4 linked regions of the Saccharomyces cerevisiae S288C genome follow. The gene in region 2 interacts genetically with the main gene of each other region. Each region holds a gene or a part of one and is shown on either strand. Other genes may lie near its edges.

Evidence for each region.
Region 1: mutations in COS1 (region 2) and YSY6 together harm fitness more than expected from each alone (negative genetic interaction), as found in Saccharomyces cerevisiae (one large-scale study listed by BioGRID).
Region 3: mutations in COS1 (region 2) and IRC4 together harm fitness less than expected from each alone (positive genetic interaction), as found in Saccharomyces cerevisiae (one large-scale study listed by BioGRID).
Region 4: mutations in COS1 (region 2) and DTR1 together harm fitness more than expected from each alone (negative genetic interaction), as found in Saccharomyces cerevisiae (one large-scale study listed by BioGRID).

Annotation. Positions count from the first base shown.
Region 1 is NC_001134.8:563,411-566,485, reverse strand, and holds YSY6 (Ysy6p), read right to left. Parts: upstream 1,256-3,075; coding exon 1,058-1,255; downstream 1-1,057. Other genes in the region: EXO5 (Exo5p), read right to left, coding at 1-763; TOS1 (Tos1p), read left to right, coding at 1,916-3,075. UniProt on the Saccharomyces cerevisiae protein: Interacts with target proteins during their translocation into the lumen of the endoplasmic reticulum. Protects unfolded target proteins against degradation during ER stress. May facilitate glycosylation of target proteins after termination of ER stress.
Region 2 is NC_001146.8:5,866-10,225, reverse strand, and holds COS1 (Cos1p), read right to left. Parts: upstream 1,897-4,360; coding exon 751-1,896; downstream 1-750. Other genes in the region: YRF1-6 (Y' element ATP-dependent helicase protein 1 copy 6), read left to right, coding at 4,128-4,146, 4,295-4,360.
Region 3 is NC_001136.10:1,515,855-1,519,431, forward strand, and holds IRC4 (Irc4p), read right to left. Parts: upstream 1,822-3,577; coding exon 1,282-1,821; downstream 1-1,281.
Region 4 is NC_001134.8:587,898-592,614, forward strand, and holds DTR1 (Dtr1p), read left to right. Parts: upstream 1-1,843; coding exon 1,844-3,562; downstream 3,563-4,717. Other genes in the region: FZO1 (mitofusin), read right to left, coding at 1-1,217; 40S ribosomal protein eS6 RPS6B, read right to left, coding at 3,815-4,519. UniProt on the Saccharomyces cerevisiae protein: Prospore-specific dityrosine transporter responsible for translocation of dityrosine through the prospore membrane and required for the formation of the outermost layer of the spore.

The sequences.
Region 1 (3,075 bases), on a different chromosome or scaffold from region 2:
TGTTCAGCAAATGCTCCACCAGTTTGCCATCTTCTAAGTTAATGAAGCCATGACAAACTATTTCTCTTGCATGACCGTCACCTTTGGTGAATAAAGAGACCAATCTATTGATAGAGTTGAACCAGTTATCTAGCAGGGCATCCATATCATTATCAATATCCATAGATAATTTTGTCAGTGCAAGGAAATTGTGGGTAAAGCTTTTATACTGATTTAATTCAGGATGCGTTTCGTCCTCTAGTGATTTATGAATCTTTTTACCTTTCTGCACCTGAAATTTTAAGTTCAGTAGTTGGTTAGACAAATTTTGAGAATAAAAGTCGTAAAAATTCCTTAACTCGCACCAATTCTGCGTAGTGCATAATTGTGTGACGGATAATCGTTTTTTCTTTAGCTGATTTACTTGAATGTCAAAATAGGGATTCTCTAAACCTCTGGGGAATCTGTAATTGATAAACGAAGGATTTTCAGGGTCTTCTCCAAATAATTCTTTAACGCTGGCCAATTTTTCGCTCAACAATGCTCCTTCCTTAGTATTTGTCTCTTTTGTCGGACTGGTGTTATCGAAAAATGGCAAATTATTGATTCTATCGATATCCGAGGCATTCAGGATACCGCTTGGATCATTAGTTGGAACATCATACATATGATTTTTCTTCGAAGGTAGTATAAATGTTCCATCAAGGGACTTATCGTTTAAATGTACAAATCTCCTAGGATGAATTAAAAATCCATACTTGTTGATTAGTGCCCGGCCCAGCATACGATAAGTACAGAAGAAAAGCAGAAAGCCTACTTGAAAAATTAAGAAAACAAAGACAGTCTACAAAGCTTTTCTGTGTACTATGCCTGGGTCCCCCCTCATACTCATCTTTGTTGCACGTTTGATTGGCATGGTAAATCACAATAGCACTTGAATTACTTCATCTTTTTTCGCATCCATAAATGACAACGCGGGTAATACTGCCTTATGCTTGTTGTTATTATTATTCGAAATCGCTTATTTATTTACGTACTTGCTTCCACTGTACACTTATATATGCAATTTGCCACTGCTTCATAGGATATAGCTGATTAGTTGCAAAACACCACCACCTACGAGAAGAAACAGAAGAATACCCAACCAAGTTTTGGATATCACAGGTGCGGTTTTCTCAGTTTTGCCCTCCTTCTTCTTACCGTATTTTCTATACTTTTCGTTATTCTTGTTAAACTTGGCATTAGCCAGTCTTTGTCTTGGTGTCTGTACGGCCATCGCAGGTGTTGTCCTCTATCTACTTCGACCTCTGCACCCTGCTATTTCTGCATGTAATGCTGTGCTGAAATTATATTTGATATAACGCAAGTAAGCGCAGATGGCGACAAGAAAAAAAGCCACGTCAAGTCATTAGACACGATATCACATACCACGAGATCTGCGCCTCGCTTTTTCTTTTCTTTTCGCGTTGGCGACTTTCCTTTTTCGTTGGCGATTTAGTGCTGGTTTTGTTTATTTTTCCACGCTTTTTCGTCGTACAGCAAACGTGAAAATTCGAAACTTGGGATTTTCATTTAAATATACCACGAATGCAGATGTGATTCATCACAAACGTTCCTGTCTTGGCAATATAGAAAATTTTCTTGCTTAGCCTTGTTTCACTTCCATTATTTTCAGATTTGTTTTAATTTTATTTTCGCATCTCTACTTTTTATATCTCTCGAACTTTGCTAGTTAAACTTCTTATCTCCATTCAATTTTTTTTTATATTATAATTATTTCTTTTCTCGCAAGAAGACTCCAGAATCAAAACTCAAACCAACCTAACTTATCCAACTTCTAGTCACTCCTTCAATAGAACGTCTTTTTCTCACCTTTTCGTTTTTCCATTTACACCCCATAAAATATCTAAAACCTAACGGAATTTGAACGAAAAAAATGTTACAAAAGCTTTCCATGACCGCATTAGTCGGTTTGTTTTCTTCAGTTGTGTCACTCGTGAACGCTGATTGTACTTACTCTGGCGGTAATTACTATTGTGCTCAAACCGATGCCATCATTTACTCTAACGTCGGTTTATCTGCTACCTACCAAGATGTCACCAATATGGATGAATCTTCTTGTGCTTGTACCCAAGCTGATTTCACTGCTTCTGGTAGCTTGGCTCCCTTCAACGAGGAACTATCTGTTCATTTCAGGGGTCCGATCGAGTTACTACAATTTGGTGTTTACTACCCAAATGGTGAATCTAATGCTTTGAAGAAAAGATCAGAGAAACAATCAATCGAGTCCTGTAAGGAAGGTGAAGCTGTTGTCTCCAGACATAAGCATCAGCACAAGAGGGATGTTGCTGTTGAATATGTTCAAGTTACTTCCACTGTTTACGTCGACAGTAATGGTCAAACAGTCACAGCCGATTCCACCAATACCGTTGTCGGTCCTGCTGTTCCTTCTTCTTACACTAAAGACTCTACTGTTTTGTCCAGCAGTGCTCAAGCAGTTGAAACGAGTGAAAGCCAGTCTTCCATCTCTTCCTCTAAAACCACCTCTTCTGCTGCTGCTGCTTCATCATCTTCGTCATCATCTTCTAACACTAACGGTGACTGGTCCAGAGGTTCCTACTTTGTCCCAGGCTCTACTAGCAACTGTACATTCATGAACAACCAAGGGGGGACTGCCGGTTCTGGTGTCTGGTCGAGTTGTTTCGGTAACTCCATCTCTTTTGCTGCTTCAGATGGTGTTTCTGGTGCTGCCTCCGCTCAAGCTCTTGGTGATGTCACCATTAAATCTGGTAATGAATTCATGATTTTCTCCGGTGAAGAATGTTCCGGTAATAACGGCGATTGTGGTTATTACAGAGAAGGCATTCCTGCTTATCATGGGTTTGGTGGGGCTGATAAAATTTTCGTCTTCGAATTTTCTATGCCAAGTGACACCAGCGGTTCTGCCTACAATCAAGATATGCCAGCTATTTGGTTATTAAATGCAAAAATCCCAAGAACCTTGCAATATGGTGATGCATCTTGTTCTTGTTGGAAAACTGGCTGTGGTGAAATGGATTTGTTCGAAATTTTGACCGCTGGTTCTGATAAATTAAT
Region 2 (4,360 bases):
TTTTTTTTTTTAATTTTTTTCTTTCTATAGCTAGTCACACAGCCATTACCACCCAAAATTAAACTGTTTTATGTATGTTTAGTCACCAAATTATCAAAAGAGCATGATTTTTCTCCTGAGTATTTCAAAGTGAAATTTGAAATCTTACCAAGCCCTCAATATAAACCAATATTTCAAGAAAGCTAGAGACATTGCAAATATTTTGCTCATTCAAACATATAGCTAAGGCAAAGGGATACTAAAACTCAGCAACTTGATGAAAGTTCGAAAATAACTGACAGTGTATCTATAAAAGTTTCACTGTGGGAATGCAGTGTCCATCCAGTATTCAGCACAGGTTTTCCTAAGCCTTCTGTACATCCCTTCATTTAACAGTAAATGTGGAAAACAAGAAGGGTAATTGTGAAAGAGTCCGATTGTAGTTGATGAACAGTAAAATCACTTATTATTTAAGGATTCCGCTGCGGTATGCGTTTTCTACTGATGTGTGGAGCAAGCCACGCCATGTGATTAACCTTGCTTGATAAAAACACCAACCCATCGTTCAGAATATGCATGGAATACAGCATCTCTAGGAGGAGAAAGACAATAAGTTTAGCGCATATGGTAGGATGATAGCACACTGATTTCTGTCAACCAGTGAGAAATAGGGAAAAAGAAAATGGTTGTAATGGTAAAAAGTAGTCTCGTTTTGGTTATTCGCAGCTGACAAACTACAAAATATATAAATTGAAAAAGTTGTATTTATCTTTACGCTAAGGACTCCTCACTGCAGGATAATTGCGCTTCTTTAATATATGGCCATAGTTCCACATTCAATGATAGAGCCCGCATAGATTTCTTTGCAGAGAGAACGCGGTAGAAGAAGTGGCTAAAAAACCATTCACAGTCAATCCCGTCAAAGAAAAACTCTTCATTCTTCCAGACTTTTTTCTCAAACAAGTACCTATTCATTTTTTTTGCAATTTCGTCCCATCCATTCGCACCACTTTCTTGCTCATTTATAATAGTCGACAAGAACTGCATCTTGTGTTCCATTTTCACGGATAAAACGATCATCCTCATGTTTTGGAAACCTTGTACCAACATGAAAAGAATCCACCCGAGATAAAAGGTGCGTAATAGAAGGCACATTCCCCGTGACACATATATGCAGCACAAAAAATTAAGGAATGGTATCAACATAAAAATATTGGAAATCCTCTTTAAAAACCAAGTAAGCTTAAATCGGTAAGCTTCTTTGGGAAGTTTAGCATCTTCCAGGCCAACAGGGCTCCATGATTTCTCAGAATTAAACAACTTCCATTGTTTTTCAACTTCTCTAAAATAAACTCCCAATGCTTCTTCAATGTAAGGGACGGAATCCTTAAATGACTTAACCTTGGCAGCTTCGTCTTTTTTCAAAGAAAATGGTTCGAGAAGGGTTGTTCTGAACGCTTCTTGACAGACCATGGCATTGAAGAAAAAGTACTTAGTATTCCAAGCCTTATTTTCATATAAGTACGAATTTAGATTTGCTGCAACAACTTCCCAATCATGAGGATCAGAACTTGGTGTGTTTTCAGTAACCTCTTTGCAAAACTGAATGAGTTGTTTCGATAAGGAACGCTTACGAGAAAGTCCACAAATAACAAGGACAAATATTGGTCCCAGAAACAGGACCAGAAGTGAAACTATAAGTGGGTAAATACAATTGTTGGAAAGTTTCCACCAGACGCTAAGTGGTAGCCATAATAGCATCCAGATGCGAAACGCTAAGGACTTGTAAATTTCATAACAAAACCAGGTAAAGCTGCTTCTGAAAAGATCTTGAGGTAGAACAATCTTTTGGGATTCGAGCTGTTTGAAGGATAATACATCTACACTCTTCTCATTTTTAAGTTCATTCTCTTTCATTTTCGGTAGTGAGATGGCAGTTCGAGGGGTTTTTTATTCGAGATAGTAACTTCTGGCTTTTCGCTTTTATACAGCACAGCAGAAAAAAAAAGCCGCCGAGGCGCGCGCGTTCATGCAATGGCTCAGTAACCTCGTGATAGAAAAAGGGAAACAATATTGGGCTATTTTAGGCAAAGAAACTCAGCTATTCGAAAAGGGCATCCATTTCATTTCCGGTTTTCTATCTAGCCAACTCGATAATCGTAATAACGAATTTACAAAACTTTAATGCGGGTACATCACGGTGTGCCGTAACGTTGGTTTACATTTAAGGTGCGACCAGCAATGTCACTGCTCGTACAGCGGTTACCGCTTGAATGAAATACATATTTTAAGCGTAGATTTCCTGTGACAAAACTGTGTAAACATCTAGTAGAAAATAGACGTAGCTGTCACAAATATTTACACAGGAAGAGTCTGTCCTACGTATCTGACATGAAGATTCATAGAACCAAGTTACTTCCCAATGTGGACAACCTTTCGATACCATGTCAATAGCTTCCCCTTATGTTCGGTGTCACTGTAAAACGGATCAAAGCAAAACCTAGAGGTACGGTGGTACTCAGATTATGCATGACCTCTGGGTAATTAGCACTTCTCCCGCTTGTTTTGAGATTCTGTATATAAATATTGCAAACAAAAGGATAGAGCGCGGATGGCAGCCCTTACAGTAAAAATTATTCGTTTTAATCATGCGTCAGTGTGAGATTCTATGACAATAGTATGAGAAGATGGGGTGAAGTAAAAGCGTCTGTATGACTATAGAGTACAGTTATATTACAATATATGGAATAGAGCATAGTGGTATGACGTATTAAGGAACATTTAAGTTAATGACGTCATGGTGGTATTGATACGCAATTGAGTGTGTTTATGTATTATGGTTGAAGAATAGAATATTTTTATGTTTAGGTGATTTTAGTGGTGATTTTTTTGTAATATTGGCATAAGTGTATATAAATTGAGTGGTTAGTATACGGTGTAAAAGTGGTGTAACGTATGTATTAAGAGCAGTTATACAATATTTGGGGCCGCCGAATGAGATATAGATATTAAAATGTGGATAATCGTGGGAGTTATGGGTAAATGGCACAGGGTATAGACCGCTGAGGCAAGTGCCGTGCATAATGATGTGGGTGCATTTGGTACTGATTTAGTGAGAGATGGGCCATGGAGTGGAGTGGAATGTTATGGCAGGGTAAGTTGAGATGGTATATACTGTAGCATCCGTGTACGTATGACCGATCAGAATACAAGTGAAGGTGAGTATGGCATGTGGTAGTGGGATTAGAGTGGTAGGGTAAGTATATGTGTATTATTTACGATTATTTGTTAACGTTTCAATATGGAGGGTAGAACAACAGTATAGTGAGTAGCAGATGGTCGATGGTAGGGTAATGGTAGTAGAGTTGGATTTGGGTAATTGGAGGGTAACGGTTATGATGGGCGGTGGATGGTAGTAGTAAGTAGAGTGATGGATGGTGGTTGGGAGTGGTATGGTTGAGTGGGGCAGGGTAACGAGTGGGGAGGTAGGGTAATGGAGGGTAAGTTGAGAGACACGTTCATCAGGGTTAGAATAGGGTAGGGTTAGGGTTGTGATGGGTGTGGGTGTGGGTGTGTGGGTGTGGGTGTGGTGTGGGTGTGTGGGTGTGGTGTGTGGGTGTGGGTGTGGGTATATATATGTCACTGTATTGCATGCTGGATGGTGTTAGACAAGGCCGTAGGGACATATAGCATCTAGGAAGTAACCTTGTACGAAAATAGGCAATATTTCCTGTTTAGGCGATTGTGACGCAGATTTTAGTCCAACGATCTAGCGTCAAGGAATTTTTTTATAGTGGGACATTGCACCAAGGAAGTAACTTGATACGTCGTGGGTGAATGGGTCTGTTTTCTTATTCGGCGGGGTAATACATTTTTGGGGGAAGTTTGTCTGTCTGACGCGCCATATGTAGGTACGCCAAAAAGGGCTCCTCTACTTCGAAGCGCGAGGTCGTATACCTAATAAGGAAATGTAATTTATAACTTTCTATTATATTGGTCTTTTCGAGAGCGGAAGAAGTTGTAGGCTAAGCGCAGGCTAAGCGTAGGTCCATATTTAAAGTATCCAAGAGAATATCCACGAAGCGGCTGAGCAACGAACAGAATCCTGGTTCTCCTCGACTAAGCAGATAGTTAAGATACTGTGCACCATGGAAATTGAAAACGAACGTACGTACCGACTACTTTATTTTTGCAGGCCGGAAATCAAGCGATGAATGAGACATCCTTCTGCTTTCTATGTTGTGCTTGAAGGGGACAGACAGTCGCTTATCTTAGTGAGATTTCTTACTAACTGAATTTACTTTGCTGCTGCTAGAGATTTGCACCTGCATAGCGCAGATTCTGCATCTTCTCAATAGCTTAATTATTACATTCTTAGATG
Region 3 (3,577 bases), on a different chromosome or scaffold from region 2:
TGTGCCGCTGGACGTTTATAGATAGCATAAGCACAATGACTTAAAGGTTATAATACTCATTGATATCACTCTGATTATAAAATCGTAATATGCGAATAGGTGAACTAATCGGAATAACCCATACGACACTTCAAGCTTCAATTCTATTTCAACTGTAGTGCCTGCTAGTGAAGAATACAAAAGTAGCATACGTGATGTGCAAAAAATGCGCTACTTATCACACAAGTACCTTGCGCAAGAAGGGTACTCTAAACCGGGGCCATCGCATTACCAGACGGAGATGTATTCTTTATGAAGCAATAATTGGAGGTGTATCAAGTTCGAAACTGCTGATGCTATGGATTTACATCTTTCTTATGCACAAGGCTTGCTTGTGTTTCTGAGTAGTTAGTTTTTAGATTTTTGTCAAGTCTGGGGTAAGTTAATTCGAGCAAAATTAACGGCACGTTATTCTAATGCATATGTTGTTCATATATTCTTTTACAAAGAGGTTTGGAATGATGTCACCGATGTTAGAATGTTAGGAGAATTTCATGTGAATTTTAGTCCAAGTGTTGAAGTTCTCTTCTGCAGTTAGGGCACGTACATGGCAACGATATCGTTTTTGATGTATTAATCTTAGTAGGCGTTGAGTTTGTATGTTACTTTTCTCAGGTGATGAAGCGTGATGACGATGACAAAAATGGGTTATAATAGGGCGCACTATCATCATGCGTGATTGATATTTAACCAATGTCTTGAGTACATCAACTCCAGAAAATGGGTCATTATATGCCTAGCATGTATTATTTGAGACATAAAGTTTTATCTCGAGACCTTGACGTATAGGAAAGATCTTAATCAAGTGACATTACTTTAAAATTTAAAGTATGTGCCATGTATACCATATACGATAGCAGAATGTGACACAAGCTATACCATACGTCTCTGATCGACATTCATGTATGGTATCGTCTATATCTTTGTTGCTTTAAAGGTTAGCGTATAGTAAGGTAAATTAACTATATGATCAATACTGTGTGTGTAGAGTACAATAAAATATATGGGAAGAACATAAAAAGTTCGTATTGTGACATGTTATTGAGGCTATGGTAAGCGTAAGAGAGTTTTGTCTTTATACTGCTGTACATTATATGAGGTTTTGTTAAATTGACTCATAATAATCGAGATTCATTTCTCAAATATAATAATATCAAAAAATATGATATTAAAAAAGGTTTTCCTGTGGTAGTTTCTAAATCCTGCAAGAAAAAAAATAGACGGCCATATACAACTTTCTCATTATATCTTCCTCCTTTTTATGCGTTGTTCTTCAGGCACTAGTCTCTTCCATTTTCTAATTTTTCCTCTAAAGTTTGTGAAAGGAGCAACCGTGTTGATATGGATCCATTTATACACAGGCCACATAGCTTTAGTTGTAGCCCATTTTCTATTTCCCGCTTGAAAGAGCTCATCATCAGATAAAGTAGATATCCATTTATAGACCTCGTTTACGGCCTCTCTCAGCTTGGCTCTTTGCTCCTTAATGGAGTAGATTCCGTATTTTTTATAAAATGACTGGTATAATCCTCCTAAATTGTTCCATTTATAACCAGGCGCAGGAGTTTCCACATTATACCCAGCAATTTCCTTTGCTTCCCACTCTAATAATAAATTAACCCAGCCCAATTGATAAGAGAGGTTTTCAGAGGGTGTTCTATCCACTGTTTCAACTTTTTCGTCTTTTTGAGATTCAGAGATTGTTTCAAATTCTGCATCATATTTTTCATATTTTTTTTCAATCTCTTCCTTTAGTTCTTTTTTACTGGTATATTCTCTCATGATAGTTTTTTTTTTTTCAATTGTTATTATTTAATTCGTTTAATTACCAATCTATAGCGATGTAAGTCTCACTATTAGCCGCTATTAGATTTTTTTCCATTTGCCAATATTGATTTTTAATCGCATTCATTATTTGATCAAATTTATATTAGTATGTACACACTCAAATAAAAGAAAATAGGGAAAAAAAATTTGCCTGCTTCAATTAGGCTTTTGGTACCTGATATCCGCTCGAGATTAAGTGCGGCCCTCTCCACCCGATAAGGAACAAAGGGCATGCTTCCTTTTTTAGCTTTACGCACTATTGTCAAATTGTTTATATAAACAGGCTGATATAGAATTCATCCTGAAAACAATGGTAAAGTTTTTCTTATTGCACTTCGCTATCCTAAATTCAGGGTTGAGATTTCTTTCTCTTTATGAATTAATGTACGATACGCTTCAGCCTTTCGGCAGTGCATACATATCCTAGCGCGCTGATAGTTGGCCACGTCACTTTCTTGCGCTCCGTAGCATCATTGTTCTTTGACGTAAGAACGCAAACTCTGGCATTATGGAATGCATACCGGTATCTGATAATAAAAATCTTGGATACTTTCCTACAGGCCATCCGGAATCATGTCAGCACAAGAAACAACCATATTCCACTACTGAGGTTCTTATGATAGTACCATATACTTACAGCGTTAGACGATAACAACAAATATAATATTAATTGAGCAAAGTTCTTTACTGTCATTCAAATCGGTGAGTAAGAGTAAAAATTGACAATGAAATAACATCTATGAATGAAATCAAGGGAAGTTTCTGAAGTAAAAATTGACCATTATTCACTACTAGTAGTCGCGTTATTAAGATAATATACTGAATGGAGTTAAAGATGAGATAAATGATGAGAAACAGTCTGCGAGTATAATGGAACATGAAGCGCAAGGGCTGATTTTGTAATAAGATAATGAATGAAAACGTGTAAAACAGATAAAGAAATAAAACAGATTAATGTGTAGAATTATCGATTCCCTTTTATGGATCTCTATGTCCCCGAGGAGCACTTCTAGTGTATTCTGTATAAGTAATAATATTATCTCAAGCAATAATGAATTCCCAATAATTATCTCAAAATCCACTCACTCATAATAATTATATATGACGCATTTAATTTCAGCTCTATGTGCATAACATTAAAATGGAAGATCAAAAATTACACTCTTCACACATAAGTGCAAAATATAGAATCATTTAAGCAATATTGCATCCTGCATATGATTCTGCGTTTTTTTTTTTTTCATTTTGAGCAGAGGAGATTGAGCAAGGATTTACGCTTGCACAAAGTATCCTTGACTTGAAAAGGAAGTTAAAATCGCATGAGAAATGCAATAACTTTATCGGTACGCCATATAACATATGAACATTTTTTAGTAATATTATAGAAGAGGTGATTGAAACGAGATAGTACGCGTAGCAAAACAATGGTAACTAGTGAGATACATTACCAAATTATCCCTGTACTCTTGTGATTTCGCATCAATTTTTCCATATGTTGAATTACAGAATTCCAAAGGCAGGATCTCTGATCTACTGTTTTCTATAATTTCTTTGATTCCATCTGATATTACGCCTAAAAAGTATAAGTCTTTCAACGACTTATACTTCATAATTACATAATACGGTTACACATATAGGTATCTTAAATTGATCACAAGAGTGATCCAAGTAAGTGTGGAGTACCTTTATCACCATTCACTGAATATTAGTA
Region 4 (4,717 bases), on a different chromosome or scaffold from region 2:
AAGTGGACAAAATCAGCTGCACGTTTATATGTTTCTGGGGACAGGTCACGGATTTGCTTTAGGATCAACTCCTTACAACGTTGTTTGTCCCTGATTTTGTCAAATTTTTTCACAACAAAAAACATTAATTTTTTCTCACGAGATGCTAAAGAAATAAACTCCTTGGCAGATAGTGTTAGCTGGTTCTCTGCATTGACAACAAATATAACTAAGTCGATTTCTTCTTGTCGGGACATTACTTCGGCGGTTTGTAACGAGTCCATGTTCAACCCAGGGGAGTCAATTAATGAAATATCAACAGTACCATTCCTTAATAGACTAGTAGAGGCAGGCCTTTTATCGTCCTTTATGTAAATCTTCAGTAAAGCATATTTTCCGTTTTGGGGAACCAAATCGGGAAGTTCTTTCAAAGTGTGTATTTCATAAGTCTTGGGATTTTGTATTGAATACATATCAATGGCTTCCTTGAGAGTCGGAGCAATGTTTAGTGGTATGGCATGAACCTCCTCTATGCCGTCATTTTCCCGAGCCTCTAGTATTTCGGAAAATACATTGGTACATGGTAGCTGATCCTCAGGTAGCAAACGCTGCTTTAATAGAGAGTTGCAAAGAGCTGATTTACCAGTATTTACATCACCTGTGATGAATACTTTAGATGAAACGTCATCCACTCTTTTTTTCAAAGCGTTTAAATGATTTGTCACTGATACGATCTGAGAGTGAAATAATTTTGATAAAGCTTTTTTCTCAATGTTGAAACCGTTCTTTTCTTTGGTATTGTACTGACCATCTAGCTTGATATTCAGTTGTAGAACATGTAATTTTTCCCGTTCATCATTTGCAGCAATAAAAATCGGGCGAATATTATTTTCTTCTTGAAGTTGATCCATAAAAGCTTGTGTCTTTAATATAGATCTTTTTAAAAGTACTCTATTGTTGTTATAATTCCACTGGCTAAGTTGTGAAGAAATTAAGTGTGCTTTTGAGTTGGAGGAACGCAATGAGGGCAACAAATCATCCTCCCTACGCCCCTCTTCACCATCAAACAAAGTGGTACGGTCATCAGTTACTCCATGGAAATTACTGCCTAAAAAATGACCTTCGTTGCGTGAGTAAGTAAGAGTTTGTGGTACTATTGTGGCGGCATCATCGTCCTGATCTGTGGAGTCCTTGTGCGGTTTATTGCTGTCTTTGAATTGTTGTTTTCCTTCAGACATCGTTAAATGAGCCTACCGTTTTGCCTCTATCCGTGATATCAGATAATGTTGCTATGTTCGGATGTACTTTGCTTTATTTATTAAGGGCTACTGTAACCTGCGTTATCCTGTTTCAATAATGCATCGTCCGTCTTAATTAATATTAGCCCGGCCATATTCTTCAGCATGAAAAGCTGTATTTACCCGGACTGCGCACCAACTTTTAAATATTAATCTCCGTTCGGTCTTTGCGCGAGTTATTATACTAGCGCCACGTATTAGTAATACTATAGCTATCTTGCCAGATAAGGGATCACAAGGAATTATATACCGTGGATCACAACTATCCATATCACTCTTCCCAATTTCGCGGAGAAATACTTATGCAGGTTTCCAAATCATTTCCGTAGCCAAAGCTGCCTGTTGGCCACTGTTTTGGCATCTCTCTACATTTTTTTTTTTCATTGATACTTTCAACCCAGACATTCTGTCACCTGGTGAAAAACGACACAAACTCCTTTGTAACAACAATTGCAATTTTAAGATATATGAGAATATTGATAAGGCTAGAAGGATGGTAGTAAGAAAAGTTGTTGTTGGTAATTTTTCAAAAAAGAGTTTCAAGAGCTGGGAAAAGAATTAAGGCAATGGGAAGCGAACCGTTTCAGAAAAAGAATTTGGGTCTGCAAATTAATTCGCAAGAAAGTGGAACAACCCGCTCAACATTTCATTCGCTAGAAGATCTAGGAGATGATGTAATTAATGAAAGCTGGGATCAGGTGAACCAAAAGAGAGCCAATATAGATCATGATGTCTTTCATGAGCACCCTGACTCTTCCCCATCATTGTCAGCACAGAAAGCAAAAACAAAAGAAGAGGAAGTTGCTGTAAAGTCATCGAACTCCCAGTCAAGAGACCCTTCTCCTGATACTCAAGCACATATTCCATATACTTATTTTTCCAAGGATCAAAGACTAATCATTTTTGGAATTATCATTTTTATAGGATTTTTGGGCCCAATGTCTGGAAACATATATATACCGGCTTTACCATTGCTGCAAAGGGAATATGATGTAAGTGCAACAACAATAAACGCTACAGTTTCTGTATTTATGGCTGTTTTTTCCGTTGGTCCATTGTTTTGGGGCGCACTGGCGGATTTTGGTGGAAGGAAATTCTTATATATGGTGTCGTTATCACTAATGTTAATTGTTAATATACTTTTGGCCGCTGTACCAGTCAATATTGCTGCCCTTTTTGTTTTAAGAATTTTCCAAGCTTTCGCTTCCAGCTCTGTGATTTCTCTGGGAGCTGGCACTGTAACAGACGTTGTTCCTCCAAAACACAGGGGAAAGGCCATAGCGTATTTCATGATGGGTCCAAACATGGGTCCTATTATAGCACCCATTGTTGCTGGGCTTATTTTAATGAAAGGAAATTACTGGAGATGGCTTTTTGGTTTCACTTCTATCATGACAGGAATAGCATTGATCTTGGTTACTGCTTTACTTCCAGAAACGCTACGTTGTATAGTTGGTAATGGAGACCCTAAATGGGGTGACAAAAAAGATGAACGTGAAAATAACGAATCTCCATTCTTCGAAGGTAATAAAATATCACATCGGCGTCTGTTCCCAGACATTGGTATCCGTAAACCAGTCAATAATGATGCTTTCTTCCAAGAAAATTTTCCAAAGCCGCCTAAAGCAGGTTTGACACTATATTGGAAAATGATTAAATGTCCTCCAATAATAATCACGTCCGTCAGTACTGCACTCCTGTTCTCCAGTTACTATGCGTTCAGCGTCACGTTTTCGTATTACCTTGAACATGACTACCGTTTTACTATGTTAGAAATTGGTGCTGCTTATGTCTGCCCAGGTGTAGCTATGTTACTAGGATCTCAATCTGGTGGGCACCTCTCAGATTATCTTCGTTCACGCTGGATCAAAAGTCATCCTAAAAAGAAATTCCCGGCAGAGTTTCGTTTATTACTGAACCTAATTGGAATTTTACTAACAATATGTGGCACAATAGGATACGGATGGGCAATCTTCTTTCATTATCATTTTGTGGTTCTTTTAGTTTTTTCCGCTCTCACTGCCTTTGGTATGACCTGGTGCAGCAACACATCAATGACATATTTAACTGAGTTATTCCCCAAAAGAGCTGCTGGAACTGTTGCTGTTAGTAGTTTCTTTCGAAATGTGGGCGCTGCCATTAGTTCCGCTATCATTTTACAGCTCTGTAACGCAATGGGAATTGGATGGTGTTTTACAGGGCTCGGTCTCTGCAGTTCAATTTCATTGATTGGTATATTATATCTTCTCATTTTTCAAAGAAAATATACTGCCAAAGAATTTTAAGAAATAGTTTATGTTTAGCTATAAAATTTAACTTTTAGAATTTTATTATATTATTTAACTTTCAAGAAAATTTTCTCATCACTCATCCCAAGGACTTCAAGAAATAGAACAATGCATCATAAGTTTATGAATTACGTGCATTTGGACCTTCAAAGAATAAAATCGAAGTTATAGTTAATTATATTAAATTAAGCCAAAAGTACATATATCTAAAAGGAAAAAGTATAAAAATTATGCAGGTCCAAGACATACTTAAGCCTTCAAAGAAGAAGCTCTTCTCTTTCTGATTTCGGCCTTTTCAGCCTTTCTTTCAGACAATCTCTTAGCCAACAATTGAGCGTATTCGGCAGCAGCTTCTCTTTGAGCTTGAGCGTTTCTGACCTTCAAAGCTCTTTGGTGTCTCTTTCTTTGCAATCTTTGAGGAGTAACCAATCTTTGGATCTTTGGAGCCTTGGTGTAAGTCTTTTCACCCTTGGTGACTTCTCTTCTGATGACGAAATCACGAACGTCATCTTCCTTGGACAAACCGAAGAACTTTCTGATGTTGTTAGCTCTCTTTGGACCCAATCTCTTTGGAACAGTAGTGTCAGTTAGACCTTCCAATTCTTGTTCACCCTTCTTGACAATGACCAAAGCCAAGACAGCCAAATCTGGACCAACAATGGCACCTCTGACGGACTTTCTCTTTCTTTCACCATCACGTCTTGGTCTGTAACAAGAAACGTTCTTGGTCAACAACAACTTGATTCTAGTTGGCAACAAAACACCTTGCTTCATTGGGAAACCTTGTTTGTCGTTACCACCAGAGATCTTGAAGACGTAGCCCTTGAATTCATCACCAACGGCTTCACCATCGACTTCTTGACCGATTCTCTTGTCGAAGAAAACACGAATACGGTGTTCATCATCAATTTCGAAGGTCTTTTGAGACCCGTTGACTGGGTAAGAAATGTTCAACTGTTATAAATAATACCATTTGTTAGTAAAGTTGTCCGAAGCCAATATCGACAAATTCCAACGAATCCCTGCTGTCCTTTCTTCCGTTACAGGTTTTTCTTATTTTCATTGATATTTCTAAACCCTTTTCGTAAATTCCTTTTTCATTCCTTAATTTGAACTTAGCGAGATATTTTCCTAAGTGTCGGTACGTGTATA